Linked DNA regions of Caenorhabditis elegans. The protein of the gene in region 3 interacts with the protein of the main gene of each other region in a pairwise test. Each region holds a gene or a part of one and is shown on either strand. Other genes may lie near its edges.

Evidence for each region.
Region 1: the proteins of F41H10.4 (region 3) and F10B5.2 interact in a two-hybrid assay, tested with the Caenorhabditis elegans proteins (one large-scale study listed by BioGRID).
Region 2: the proteins of F41H10.4 (region 3) and lin-10 interact in a two-hybrid assay, tested with the Caenorhabditis elegans proteins (one large-scale study listed by BioGRID).

Annotation. Positions count from the first base shown.
Region 1 is NC_003280.10:8,142,958-8,147,917, forward strand, and holds F10B5.2 (Protein AAR2 homolog), read left to right. Parts: upstream 1-1,804; 5' UTR 1,805-1,843; coding exon 1,844-2,045; intron 2,046-2,091; coding exon 2,092-2,183; intron 2,184-2,228; coding exon 2,229-2,573; intron 2,574-3,706; coding exon 3,707-3,937; intron 3,938-3,989; coding exon 3,990-4,193; 3' UTR 4,194-4,279; downstream 4,280-4,960. Other genes in the region: ints-11 (Integrator complex subunit 11), read right to left, coding at 1-89, 141-271, 314-340; rpl-10L (Large ribosomal subunit protein uL16), read left to right, coding at 927-1,172, 1,221-1,403, 1,450-1,665; btbz-2 (BTB domain-containing protein), read right to left, coding at 4,406-4,736.
Region 2 is NC_003279.8:8,116,257-8,121,214, reverse strand, and holds the start of lin-10 (Protein lin-10), read left to right. Parts: upstream 1-1,900; 5' UTR 1,901-1,901; coding exon 1,902-2,052; intron 2,053-2,697; coding exon 2,698-2,936; intron 2,937-3,535; coding exon 3,536-3,625; intron 3,626-3,833; coding exon 3,834-3,885; intron 3,886-4,348; coding exon 4,349-4,572; intron 4,573-4,958. UniProt on the Caenorhabditis elegans protein: Required specifically for the determination of 3 vulval precursor cell fates P5.p, P6.p and P7.p during late second and early third larval stages; required for basolateral localization of receptor tyrosine kinase let-23.
Region 3 is NC_003282.8:5,362,684-5,367,307, forward strand, and holds F41H10.4 (GRIP domain-containing protein), read left to right. Parts: upstream 1-1,875; 5' UTR 1,876-1,876; coding exon 1,877-2,050; intron 2,051-2,095; coding exon 2,096-2,221; intron 2,222-2,268; coding exon 2,269-2,416; intron 2,417-2,468; coding exon 2,469-3,310; intron 3,311-3,358; coding exon 3,359-3,472; intron 3,473-3,524; coding exon 3,525-3,687; intron 3,688-3,736; coding exon 3,737-3,897; 3' UTR 3,898-4,068; downstream 4,069-4,624. Other genes in the region: hda-6 (histone deacetylase), read right to left, coding at 248-802, 853-1,127, 1,171-1,458, 1,503-1,538; sand-1 (Vacuolar fusion protein MON1 homolog), read left to right, coding at 4,185-4,375, 4,434-4,588.

The DNA.
Region 1 (4,960 bases), on a different chromosome or scaffold from region 3:
GAGGCAAACTTCCACAGTGATCCAAATGAAAATGTGAAATGATGACACAATCTAGGTAATCAGTTAGTCTTCCACCTCCACCAATATACCTGAAAAAGTTATTATTTTAGATTTGAATTGAATAAGCTTGCAGAACTTACGAAAAGTCAGGAAATCTTCGATCATCTTGGTATCCCATATGCATTCCACAATCTACCATAATATTCTTTCCACCGATAGTAATAAGAATACACGACCGTCCAACATCTTGTCCCGCACCCAGTGGAACAATCTAAAATTGTATTTTTTTTCAGAAAAGTCCTTCAGAACTCACCTTGATTTCAGGAATTTTGTCGGGCATTGTGAAATATAGCTATAAAGTTCTAAAAATACTCAATTTTAGCCTTGAGTAATGAATTAATTGCAAAAAATGCCTTCGCGAAATAGGATTTTAATGAAAAATCTTTTTTGTTTGTCCGAAATTTCGAAATGAGTACGGTGCACAAATGTCGTCAATTGTTATGCTTTGTATGTAGTTCACCGACGGCAGTGAACATTAGTGTTGTCCTCAATTTCTCTTTGGCCTAAAATTTTTCTCTCGATTTTCTCTTGAAGCAGTGGATTTTTTGCCTTTTTGTTTTATTTTATACATTTTTTTCTGATTTATCATGATTCAAACGTCAGTTATTTAAAACTATAGCTCTCATTGTCTTAAATATTGCAAACGAAATTTGTTTGAATCATTTCGAAATTCGAAGTCATGTTTGATATTGTTTTCCTATTATCCACTGTTTTTAGTTCTCGAATCAATAATGCTTTGACAGTATTTCGAAATAATGATGACAATTCTTGGCGTGATGGTGACAAAACATGTTCTTTGATTCTCTTCTATATATATATATTCTCCGTTTGTCGTAATTTATTGTAGTCTTCTCAATTTTCAGAACATGGGTAGACGTCCAGCGCGGTGCTACCGCTATATCAAGAACAAGCCATACCCAAAGTCCCGCTTCTGCAGAGGAGTTCCGGACGCGAAGATCAGAATCTTCGATTTGGGAAACAAGAGGGCTAACGTTGACACCTTCCCAGCATGTGTGCACATGATGTCCAACGAGCGTGAGCATCTTTCCTCTGAAGCTCTCGAAGCCGCCCGTATTTGCGCCAACAAGTACATGGTCAAGAACTGCGGAAAGGTAAGACAAGGATTTAGTTCAATTTTTCATCCAACCTGTATTTTGTAGGACGGATTCCATCTCCGTGTTCGCAAGCATCCATTCCACGTCACCCGTATCAACAAAATGCTTTCCTGTGCCGGAGCTGATCGTCTCCAAACTGGAATGCGTGGAGCTTACGGAAAGCCACAAGGATTGGTCGCTCGTGTCGACATTGGAGATATTCTTTTCTCCATGAGAATCAAGGAAGGAGTAAGTTCCTCCACTAGAAATATCAGGTGCTAATAATTGTGTTCAGAACGTCAAGCACGCTATTGAAGCCTTCCGTCGTGCCAAGTTCAAGTTCCCAGGACGTCAAATCATCGTCTCTTCCCGCAAGTGGGGATTCACCAAGTGGGATCGCGAAGACTACGAGCGCATGCGTGCTGAAGGAAGACTCCGCTCCGACGGAGTTGGAGTTCAACTCCAACGTGAGCATGGACCACTCACCAAGTGGATTGAGAACCCAATCTAATTTGGTATCCACTGTATTTGTTGAAAGCAAATAAATAATTTCTTATGTTATATTTTTCTTTGTTGTTTTTCCAATCATGTAAAATTCGTCAAGGTATTATGCGGGTAGATCTATAGATATAACATGCACTACGTTTTAGATGAGCGACAACACTGCGATCTTGCTTCAAGCTATGCGAATGGGTGGCGCATTGCCTCCTGAAATTGTAGACTACATGTATCGCAATGGAGCTTTTCTTCTTTTTCTGGGATTTCCGCAGGCTTCAGAGTTCGGTATTGACTACAAATCATGGAAGACGGGAGAAAAGTTCATGGGTCTGAAAATGATTCCGCCTGGAGTTCATTTTGTTTATTGCAGCATTAAATCTGCTCCAAGAATTGGTTAGATAGCGACAATATTACATTTTGTGAAACATTTTACTTTCAGGATTCTTTCATAACTTCAAAGCTGGGGAAATTTTGGTAAAGAAATGGAACACAGAGAGTGAAACATTTGAAGATGAAGAAGTTCCAACTGATGTAACTATTTAAATTCATAAATTCTATGTCGTAGTATGTTTTCAGCAAATCTCTGAAAAGAAGCGTCAACTGAAGAATATGGATTCATCACTAGCCCCCTATCCATATGAAAACTATAGAAGCTGGTATGGTCTTACTGATTTTATCACGGCCGACACTGTCGAAAGAATTCATCCCATACTTGGTCGTATCACTTCACAAGCAGAGCTCGTCAGCCTTGAGACTGAGTTCATGGAAAATGCAGAAAAAGAGCACAAAGACAGTCATTTTCGAAATCGAGTGGATCGAGAGAATCCAGTTCGGACGAGATTCACAGATCAGCATGGATTACCGATTATGAAGATTCGAGAGGGATACGAAATTCGATTCCAAGATATACCACCTCTCACGGTAAATTTTTTTTCGTTTTTGCTTTAAAAATATAAATTTTCGAGTTATGAGAAAAGTTTTAAAATTAGTTTTTTTATATTACCCAGACACAGTGTTGCGATTTTTGTGCCTAAAATTATTATCCGGGGTCAACACCAGGGCTGAGCAGCCGCCCAAAAAAAATCGGCGATCGGCGATCACAAATTGCCAAAAAAAAATCGGCGATCGCCGATTGCCGATCAGTGTGCGTCTAATTTTTTTCAATTTTAAAATCCTAATTTTAAGAGCTCTTTCAAATAATTTTTTATAAAAACAGGAATATTAGGCAACGAAAAGCACTCCTTGATACCTTAAAATTCGAAAAGTAGTGAAAAATAGTCCGAAAATATACCTTCTTCCTTCTTCAGAGGGGTCTATCTTGGACTATAAAATTTCATCGGCGATCGCCGAAAAATCACGAAAATCGCCGATCGCCGATTGCCGCTCACCCCTGGTCAACACGACAAATTTTTGTTGAATCCTTTTAAAGAGTACTGTACTTTCGAACTCGTTTCTTCGGAATTTTCATCGATTTGTCATAGTTTTTCGATGAAATTTTTTATCTACTGAAAATCGTAAGAAAGATTATGCAAAATCGACGAAATTTCTGCAGCTTGTAATTCAATCGCACTTTCCAAAAAATTTGTCGTGTCGAGACCGGATACTGTATCGGATTTTCTAAACAAAAAAAACCTGAAATTTCGCGCATGGGTAACATCTATAAATATGCTATATTCAAAAGGTTTCTTTTTAAAAACATCTTAGTATCCATTGAACACGATATTACATAGCTAAATATTTAAATTATTTTCATTTAATGTCGGAACCAGTAAAAAAGTTGATTTGAAATACTAATTCCTGTATGAGTAATTTTTTTAATGAAATTTACAATAATTCCAGTTTTGTCGAAAAACTTATTTCTAAAAAAAAATTTTATAATGCTTTTTAAAGTTTAATGTTGTTTTTTTTCTTTGAGAAAAAAATTATCAGAGTTCCGAATTCCATGGGAAATTGCTTGAAATATGGCAAATCTATTTAGTTTTCTGTCTTGTAATAAAAAAATAAAATTGTTTTTTCTAAAAATGTATTTAAAAATAAATATAAAAATATTTCAGGTTAGCCAGAATCGAGTAGGAATTGAATATTCTGATCGTCTTTACCGTCTTCTTCGCGCTCTCGGTGGTGATTGGAAGCAATTGCTGGCTGAAATGCAAATTGCATTTGTTTGTTTTCTGCAGGGACAAGTTTTTGAAGGATTCGAGCAATGGAAACGAATTATTCATTTGATGTCGTGTTGTCCAAATTCATTAGGCTCTGAGAAAGAGTTGTTCATGTCATTTATCAGAGTAAGAACATACGGAACACAATTAGAAAATACTTCAAATACATAAATTACAGGTTCTCTTCTTCCAACTCAAAGAATGCCCCACTGACTTTTTCGTCGATATTGTTTCTCGTGACAACTTTTTGACAACTACTCTCTCAATGTTGTTCGCCAACGTCCGAGACTCTGCACACGCCGGTGATGATTTGAAAAAGAAGACTGCCCAATTCAAACAGTATCTCACGAATCAATTCAAGTGGGATTTCAATTGTGATTAATATGAAGATCTCTCGTGGAAAATTGCATCTCAATTTAAATATTTTTTTTTAATTGGTTTATTGTAAAAAAAGAATTTTGAAAATACAAAGGCACTGGGTATTTAGAAAGAAAACGTGAACCAATTTCAGAGGTTGGGGGATCACAAGCATCTAAAGCCCTAACAAAAAAATGAAGTAGTAAAATATAGGTCATGATTTGGAAGAAGATCAATTCAATTAGATAATGGAGTATTTAAGTGAAGCATTAATGACTGATCAATTAATGGTTTCACATCTAAATCAATATCAGTTATCATTGGTTCACCATCACTACTACTTGATGTAGATGTTTCTGAAGAATTATCTGCAAGTAATCCTGAACATTGTGCAAGTTCCTGAGCATGCTGCATTGCCAAATGAATGAACAGAAGATCTGTGGAGTGAGTGGAGAACGGGCACAATGAGCATTGAATCGGAATATTTCCAGCTGGATTTGTTGGAGCAAAGATTGAGGAAACATTCGGATCAATGACGTCAGTAGTCATTGTTGGAACAATTTTCTTTCTGAAATTTGGAAGATATCTTCATTTCATTTGTCTCAACTGATCGCCCAACCAAAAATCTTCGTGTTTTTCCCCCCAACTACTACTACTTCCCCGTTCTGTTACTATCCGAAAAAATCCAGTTTTTTCTTGTCTTCCGAATTCACTCGTTCCGATATATTTTCAGTAAAAACTGAAAACATAGCGCGTGCGAAGATAGACTATAAACAAACATCGCGAAAATTA
Region 2 (4,958 bases), on a different chromosome or scaffold from region 3:
TTATTAATTCAAAATATTTGAAAGTTAAACGTAGAGTAGTGCCAAACTTCTCAACATTTTTTAACTTTGAACTAACTTTGAACGGAATTTTCGGCTTGAACTCTAATCTCAAAATTGAAAAGTTTACTTTTTTGCCATCTATTCCGCAATAACAGTAAACGTGAAATTATTCACACTTTTTTCCATCTTTATATACTCTCTCGTTCATCTACCAGTTTTGTATTGTCCATTCGTCCATCACAAATTCCCATTCATCCCGTCATCTGGTGTATTCTTTCCGTTTTTGATACTTTTTTGTCTGTGCCCTGGAAAAGAGTTGGATGGAAAGAGAGAGTGAAGGAAAACGATGGAAAAGAGCAGAATTAGCATAATTATGACACTTTTTCTCTCGCCTCTTCCCTATTTTTCTCAACCCCGCGCTGCTCGAATGAGAAACGTCTCGAATAGGTTTTAAAGCTTCAACTTTTTACTGTTCTAATGTTTTCATTTATTTCCAAGAATTTAGTTGATCATTCACGATTCCCATGGCTTAGGTCAAAAATTAGAAATACTTTGCGGAATTCTATCACAATGCAGTTATATTTTCACATTTTTAGAACTTGTCCTAAAATACAAGAAGTTATCTTTATTTTCAACATCTGGAAAAAATTCGTTTTCAACATCTAAAGCGACAATTGGAAAATTGTCAATTGAAAGTCATTTAGTTAGCGGCTTACATTAATACAATTGTTTGGTTAAACATATTTTTCAAACGCCCTCAAAAGTCCAAAAAGCACTCGATATTTTGGAGATTAGCAAGCACGGCATAAAAGAAACAGCAAAAAAAGAAAACGACACGTGTCATATATTTGGCTGAGAAAGTAGGGATTAGAGTGTCGAAGAAACATGACAAATGAATTGGCATTCAGAAGACGTGCATACATGGCACGACATATTGCTTCGGGAACTCCTTACACTGCATTTTTTGGTTTCCTCAATGTATATTTTGTTTCACGATCAGTCTCCGCTTGTTGTTCTTTTTTCTTATGCTCCAGTGGGAAAAATGTTAAAAACTACACCTATAGTGCACCCATGATGAAAATATCATTCTAACACTTTCCAACATTTTTTGAAAATGTTATATTTACATTAATAGCAATTAATCAGTTTCCACCTATCATAATTGGTCCAATACATTGTTTAATTTTAAGTTCGCTTCAATTATTTACAAGTGAACCTAGAACCTAGGTCTTCGCATTTGCAGCATTGCTCTAAATTAATGAAAAACTCCAATTTTTTTAATTGGCAATTTACCAACATTTTCATTTGAAAGTATTTTATTTAGATATAATAATAATAATAATTTATTACGCTCGCTGGGAGACGTGAAGGAATACAGAATACAAAAGTTATCATTGTTCGCTTGTACTAGAATTGGTGCAGTCGGGCAATTGTTTCCATTCCATTAGAATGTTGTCCTTGTCCTTGCGTTGTCCTTGCGTAGACTCCCCCATAGTGGGCGAGCGATTCCCGAGTGAAAATATGTAGATTTTTAGATATGTAGATATGTAGATATGTAGATTTTTTACTACATAATTGTAAGTCTGTGTAGATTCGAACTCCATGTTGTGTTACAGTACTTCCGAACACGATCTTAAAACTTTTTGAGCATCTCCCATTTTCTCATTTTAGGAAAAAATTTAACTTATAACTTCGAGGTGACAATTGTTAATTCTAAATTTTCCCACGTTAACTCTCTCTCTGTCTGCTTCTCTCTTGTCCCTCTTCTTCATCGCTCTAATTAATTCGCGTGTGAGACGAGAGAAGAGCATCCAATAATCCATGTCCTTTTCCCGCTTCCTCTCTCTTTCCCTCATCTTCCTATCTATTTTCCATCGGACCATGAACAATTCTGTTGCAGGATGTCATCTGAAGCAGTAGCACAAGCCACAGCCGCCACGACGTCTCCTGAACACGGGGTCCCCACATCATCGGCCACGCCTACTCCTCCGCCGAGCAAAGGGGGTGGAGCCGGTGGTGGTGGGGGAGGAGAGCAACAACAAGTCCCATTTCGTTAGTTTTACAAGAGATTTTGAATTAAAGTGTAAACAAATATACCAGACTTCAAGTTTTTTGAGTGTCATTTTTCAAATTTAGATGGTGTGTTTAAATATTCCCGGATCTTCAAAAATCTGATGTTTAGATATTTGAAAAAGCAAGACAAAATCAAATCAGTTAAAAAAAATATGAAAAAAACACAATAACACAGAAAAAAGGCTCTGAAATCCAGATAGGTTCAGTCTGATTTGCCAGCCCTAGTAAGACTATATTAACTTTTCGTAAGGAATTGCTCCTTCGTTTTGGTCAACCTTTCCTCAAATATTTTCACTCGAAGAATAAGAAAAAATAGAGGGGATATTATTGTTTTTCGAACCTTCTCGATTAAAAATTCCCTGTCTTCTCCTCTTCTTCTTATTTTTCCCCGCCGCCGCCTGACCACAAAAATAGGCTATTATTCATATGGCTGGACGTCTTTCATGTTGCCTTCCCTACAAAAATCTATTTTACACGGAAGTATAAGAAAATATTTTAAATATATTGCACTAGGAAACTTCTGTGCACAGAATGAAAATGTATGACATTGGTTATTTATATTTGCTTACTTAACACAATTAAAATAGGAAAAGCTTGTTCTTCAATATATTCGATTTTTTACAGAAATGATCCCTCCTGGTCATTTTTTCGCAAATCCCTTCTTGAATCCGTATATTCCAACAGCGGGTGCTCCTGCTCAGGAGGGTGAAGCTCAACCTCAGATGGTATTCTCTCCAGCTCAATATCAGGAAGTCATGCATCATTATTTTCAACAAATGATGGCCGCGAGTGGAGCACAGTTTCCGATTCCGTTTCCCATGCAATTTCAGCCGGCTCTTCAACAGCCAAGACCTTCTTCTCAGGTTTGTTTTATAAAGCGTTATTTTACAAAAACAATTGAAACACTGTCAATTTTTCATTAGAAGCAGTTTTTAAAACTGGGGTTGATAAGCTTTAAAAAAATGAAGGAAATGACATTAGTCATCAGAAAATGTATGTTTCGCAATTTTGGAACATTGTTGTACAACTAGAAAAGTTGCGAAATTTATTTTTGCAGAAAGAACTATTTTTAGAGCTCTCGAAATTGTTTTATTCACAATAAAAACATGTGAACTGGAAAAACCATATAATTTTCTGATTTGGCGAATTTGCCACAATATAATAACCTAAGACATTACATGCTTATTGGATGTTTGATGATGCATGGCTGACACCCGCTCGAGGCGTGTGAGAGGCGCCTCCGTCACTCTCTGCCGGCTAGAAATTCTAATTTTGATGTAACCTAGTCAAGCTCACAAGAAGTTCACAAATTCTTATTACAAAGTTATGCTTCTGCATTGATGCAGAACAGTATTTGATATTTCTAGACATTGAAATAGATCTAGAAATATATTACCAAAAGCAATGCATTTATGGCTCCCAAAATTCTCATCTGCACTTCATAACCTTCAAGTATTCTCAGGCATCATCATCTCATCGCTCAGAAGACGATAACGGAAGGCAGACAGCTGGCAGTGTTGTGTCCTCTAATGTGTCACCAAATCATCGAGAGGTTCGTTTACGGCAGAGCCCAAACACTTGAACTCACAAGCAAAACGCTGGAAATTAGGCGAAGTGATGACTTGGGGAGCTTCTTCATGTTCTTCCTGTAGCTCTAAAATAAATAAATGTGGTTCGGGAATTTAAAAGATAAAATTTTAAAAAATGTTCATTAAAATATACTTCTAGTTTAGAAATCAAACTCAGTCTTTAATTTTTAGGTGAGACCAGCAGAAGATTCTACGGAAACAAGCGGCGTTGTTCAAAATAATGGTTAGTTGGTTTTTCACTTTTAGAAATTCAGGCCAAATGCCAGAAGATCAGTCATTATCTCAAACGTTTGGCGTACAGTTTTCACAGAACGTATTAAGTTTCCTTCTTCGTCTAGTGGAATGTAAAACTCCAACTTTAAAAATTTCGAATAAATTGCATTTTCCAAAAGTTCTTCAGAAAATCTTCAAAAAAGATCCAGCATGTATCTCATTTGTCACAAGTGAGCATGTAACACGAGAACATTTTGGTGAGAAGAAGAGACAAGAGAGATATCTCTGCGTCTCTTATCATCTCACACTCTCTCTTTTTGCTCAGCCGATTTACTAATTGTTCCATGTCCGAAAGGAGTTGTACGTCTCCCACCATCATGTCTGGACGGAACTTAGAGACCACACGAAAAGTTGAAGGGATTTCCCCTGAACATTTTTCTAATTGTCAATTTTCAAACCTAAATATGTTTCAGATGAGCTTCTTGTACCAACTTCCACGTCATCCGATGTGACAATTGGTGACGTCATCGAAAAATCAGATTCTCCTGAAAATTCGCAAGAATCAGCGGGAGGAGAGGAGAAAAGTGAAGAAAAGCGGAAATTATCCGGTGATCGAACGGATTCACTCATTCGAAAACAAATGAGTGAAATGGAAAAAGAGATAACACGACGATCACAGAATAAAAATATTAAAACGGTATGTCGTTCGGTTTCGGAATTTTGAGAATTAATTCTTGAAAAAAAAAAGTTTTTCACTGAAATCTATGATCAAAGTTCCTAAAGCCAAATGTGAAAAACTCAATTTATGGAGTCACATAGTATGCGCATAGAATGTGCAAGAAACCTCCAACTTTCCCAAAAATAACAACTGTTTTCGAATATTTGGAATATGCCAAAACTTTGACACAAATTTTTGAAAAAACCTGAACATTTTTGGCTGTTGTTTTATTTCGATAGACCTTTTTTCTTTTAGACCTTTCTACATGTTTTGGCAAAATTTCCACTGGCGCTACACCACTTTTAAACAATAAGCATTAGACCATTAGAACTGTGAACTTTAGATATCGAGGCCAACAAAAATTC
Region 3 (4,624 bases):
ATGTATTTTTATTAATTTTCGATGATCTGTTTTCGGTGATTTTTGGATGCCTTTATCGACTTAAAATGTGTCTAAATCAACGATTTTGCAACAAAAATACATTCTAAAAGTTTTAAAAATATAAAATACGTATTCCTGCTGCAGATTTAGCGAAATTCGGTTTTTTTTTAACTTTGAAATTTTCCTAATGAAATTCGCCCGTTTTGGGGTGATTTCGGGTCTAATTGAGCCCAAATAGTCAACGTACATCGGCCACTGAGCCAATCTTAGTGAAGTCCGAGACGGAAAATAGTCGAAGCAGTTCCAATGATGTCGAAGAACGGAAACAAGGCTAACACATGAATCAACCGTACTTTCTTTCGGTGCTTCATTCAATTCAATTGAAAATGGAGCATATCCGAGCAGTACTCTCACACATCTTTGAACAGCGACTGCAGAGATTTGATGATTGTAACCTCCTTCCAATACGACCAACATTCTTCCCTGTGCAAGTGATTTCAGATGATATAAAATATGTGAATAACCATCAGGTGTAAGACACATTCCACCTAAAGGATCACCGAGAAGTGCGTCGAATCCAGCAGAGATTATCACAAAATGTGGATCAAACTGAGTTGCAAGAGGAAGTAGAACATGGAAAATAATCGATAGATAATCAGAATCAGTGCATCCAGTTTCATTTAAAGCCAGATTTGCGTTGTATCCCAATCCCTTTCCTGATCCAATATGATCAAAATCTGATTCGGGAAGATGAGGCCAAAAGAGACCATGTTCGTGGCGATGAATTGAGAAATATAGTACTCTGAAATTCATTGAAGAAAATTATTATTTCACTATAAAATCCTTTTTAACCTTTTATCATCATAAAAAATCCGCTGAGTTCCGTGTCCGTGGTGTACATCCAAATCGACAATCAAAATCCGTTCGGCTCCACTGAAAAATGCTTCTTCGGCGGCTTGGGCGACATTATTGAATAAGCAGAAACCACAAGGCGATACAGAATCTGCATGATGTCCGGGTGGCCTGACGACTGCAAAACCATTCGAAGCTTCATTAGCCATGATTCTATTCGTCAAATCTCGAACACACGCGACACCATCTTTGGCAACTTTCATCGAGTTCTGAAACTTTATTCTCAACGTTTTGTGCTTCTTTTTACCCAATTAATACCTCTGTCATAAACACGGAATCATATTTTTCGCACTGTGAATTAATATCTTCTTGTGTTTTCTTTTCAGATTCCATTAAATCTTTAACCATGCTTTTATCGTGGGTTACTTCCAAGTCAGCATCGTCGATCTCCAGAAAATTTGTTAGTACAGTGCATTTTTCGAGTATTTTCGTCTTTGTTAATGCCTCTTTAATCTTCAAAATTCGATCCGAAGACTCCGGATGTGTTGGGCATACTGTATTCTCATGTTCATTTTGAGTTTGATTGAATCCGATGAGTGTTGGACCCTGTAAATAGATTATATGATTGTACGAACATATACTTTTCTTACCGTTGATCGATTTTTCTGCCTATCTTCGAAAAGCATGGAAAACTAAACGATAAATGTTTGAATAACCGCTAAAAGTCTAAAAAATCCTGTGGAAAAAATGTCCTCGTGATGGCCGTGGACTAGAATATTCAACTCAAGGCTACGGCCATCTGTGCACTTTACCGTCAAGTCGCGTGTGTTCTGACCTGTTTTGCATTTTGTTTATGTTTTTTTGTTTTTGTGTTATGCATCAATAAGAGTAATTGGACAAAAACATGAAATATCAAGTTTTCTTTGATTTTTCCAACCGCCTTGTGTAGATTTATAGTTCGTTTTTTAAACGTTTGCTCCTAAACACCCAATTTATGTATTTTACGTTGCAAACTTTTTGCAGAATGGCGACAGAGTCGGGTGGCTTGTCGAAGGAGGAATTCCTTCTTGTTCAAGAGCAACTTTTGCAGCTGAAAAATGAAAATTACGAGTTACGAGAGGAGATTAAAAAGAAGAACGCAGCAGCTTCCCAACACCAAAACTCTCCGAAAAATGAAGCATTGCAATTTGCTAGCAAGGTGAGGAAAAGTTTATTTTTATTATAATTAATTTAAATCTTTCAGTTAATCAACAGAGCATCTTCTTCGAAAAAAGATGAAGCAGAAATTGAGTCGCTTCGGCGGAAACTAGAGACCCAAGAGCAAGAGTTTCGCCTTCAACAATCTACCCTTTTTGAAGAGCTCAAGACAGTAAACTTTACATTTAAAATTCAAGCTTTTCAATGTCCAAATTACAGATATCCACACAAAATGAGACATTAAAGAATCAAATGTCGTCTTATTCTGATCATCCTCTGGAAAAAGAAGCAGAAGAAAGGCAAACAGTGGAACAATTAAAAGAAGCTATTAAAAATTTAACAGACGAAAAAGTTTTGCTATGTCAAGGTAATTTTATTCCAACTTTGTTCAATACAATTAATTGTATAAAAGGTTACAGAAACAATTCCTGCTATAAGCAACAAAGTTACAAGTCTCAGTGAAGAACTTGAAAACTGTCAGACATTGAACGTCGAGCTTGAAGATCGTTTACTCTCAATAACTTCAGAATCCGAAGCTATTCTTAAAATTAAGGAGAAGGTTGTCGAGGAAAATTTGCGAATTAGGAAAGAAATTGAAGAATTACGCAGAGAAAATGAAGGGATTGCTGAAAAAATGAAGGAGAGTAACAATGCAGTGATGGATGAAAATAAAAAGCTTTCTGATGATAATCTGGAATATAGAAAGACAATGTTGAGTCAGAAATCTGAAATTGACAGTTTAAAAGCTGAGAATTTTAAACTCGTCTCTGAAAATCAACTAAATCATGACGTTTCTAAAAACCTTGCTGCTCTACAATCAGAAAAACTAAAGCTGACTGAAATATCTCAACAAGAAATATCAGGTTTGAAAAAAAAGATCGAAGTTTTAAAATCGGAAAATCATCGTCTTTCGTCTCAAATCCAACAGAACACTAATGAAGCTGCAAAGAACCACGAAAAACTTTTAGAAGACCGAGTACTTCTTCTCGAAACTCGTTATCAATTGGAAGTTGATGATCTTAAAAAGAGTTTTGAGTCGGATAAAGAATGTTTCCTTTTGAAAATGACGAGTTTAGAGGAGAAGCTGAAATCAGCGGAAGAAGACAAGAAGCTCGCAGTGAAAAAAGCAATGTCTCTTGTGAAAGAGCTACAAAAATCATTAAAAGAAGAGAGAAAACGAGCTGATTCTTATGAGAGAAAAAGCGAAGAAAGAGCTGGATGGCATGTGGTTCCACCAGAAAATGATAGGCAAAGTAGTCATGTAAGCACATTTAATCAAGGACTAACATATATTCATCAAATTTTTCAGACTTTCGACGGAAACGAAAGTGTTTCATCAATGTCGGCAATCGAATCGGAGAACGTTGAACTTATCACTCGTCTAGCCACGTTACAAAAGATTCATTCGGAAAATGCAGATTCCGTAGGATCTTCTTTGCAGAATTCTTTGAAATATTGGAATAATCATCTTTCAGATTCTCCAACTCGAATCAGAAAATAGTCGCTTGCGACGGGAAGTGACGGAAAAAGGAGAATTAATTGAGAATTTGATCCGCGAAAAACCTCTTGGCACCGGATTTCAACAACAGAATAATCTGGGTTCTTCTTCTTCTTCTTCTGTTCAACCGAAACTTGAAGGTTTAGCTTCTAAAATTTTCATTTTTTTAAATACTGAAAATTATTCCAGCGTCATTCCGAAAACTGCTCAATACACTTGGCCAAGATTCCCGAGATTCAGATGTCCGTGAAATGAACAAAAAGCTGCAAAGAATGCTTGAAGAGACACTTTCTAAAAATATAATTCTTCAGAGAGACTTGCAAACTATTATGGAGAGAACTGGCTTGTAGATTTATATCTTTTTTTAAAATTTCTATTGAATCCGTGTGTGCATATGTAGATATTGTTACTGAAACCATTGCATTTTTTTTTCTGTATTTTTTGCTGAAATTTCAATTGATCTAATTTTCCAATTAAGCATTTTGTATATTCTTTGTGCATAATAATTTTTTAATTTTCAGTTTCCCATATTATTTTTTTATTTTCTCTCTGTCTGGTTCTCATTTTTTGAATCCACAGCAATACTTAATTCTTGAAAAAACATGAAATTTTCAGAAAAATCTCGCCAATTTTCAGAATGGAAGTAGAAGTACCTGGTGGATCAGAAGCTGCCGATACTGGAAGTGAAGCGAGTTATAAAGTGTCACAAGTAGAGATTGAAGATGTTGAAGAGAATTTGAAAAATGCTGATGTGATATTTGAACATCTTGAGCAACTTCCATTTCAGGTGTTTATTCTGAGCGAATTTGGAAAACCGATTTTTGTAAAGTGAGAATTTGCAAATATTATCCATTCAAACACACAAAGCCTTCTTTAAAAATTACAGCAACGATCGAAATGAGGGTGAAATCGTCAGTTTGGTGGCTCTAATTTGTGCATTTGTGAGCCGATGCCAATCTTGGGGTGATAGTTTGATGACGATGACGTCACAGGATAATCACATTCAATTTTTACACAAATCACCGCTTATTTTCTGCGTTGGTAAGAATTTTATGCAATGGAAACGCGCTCCGCCCC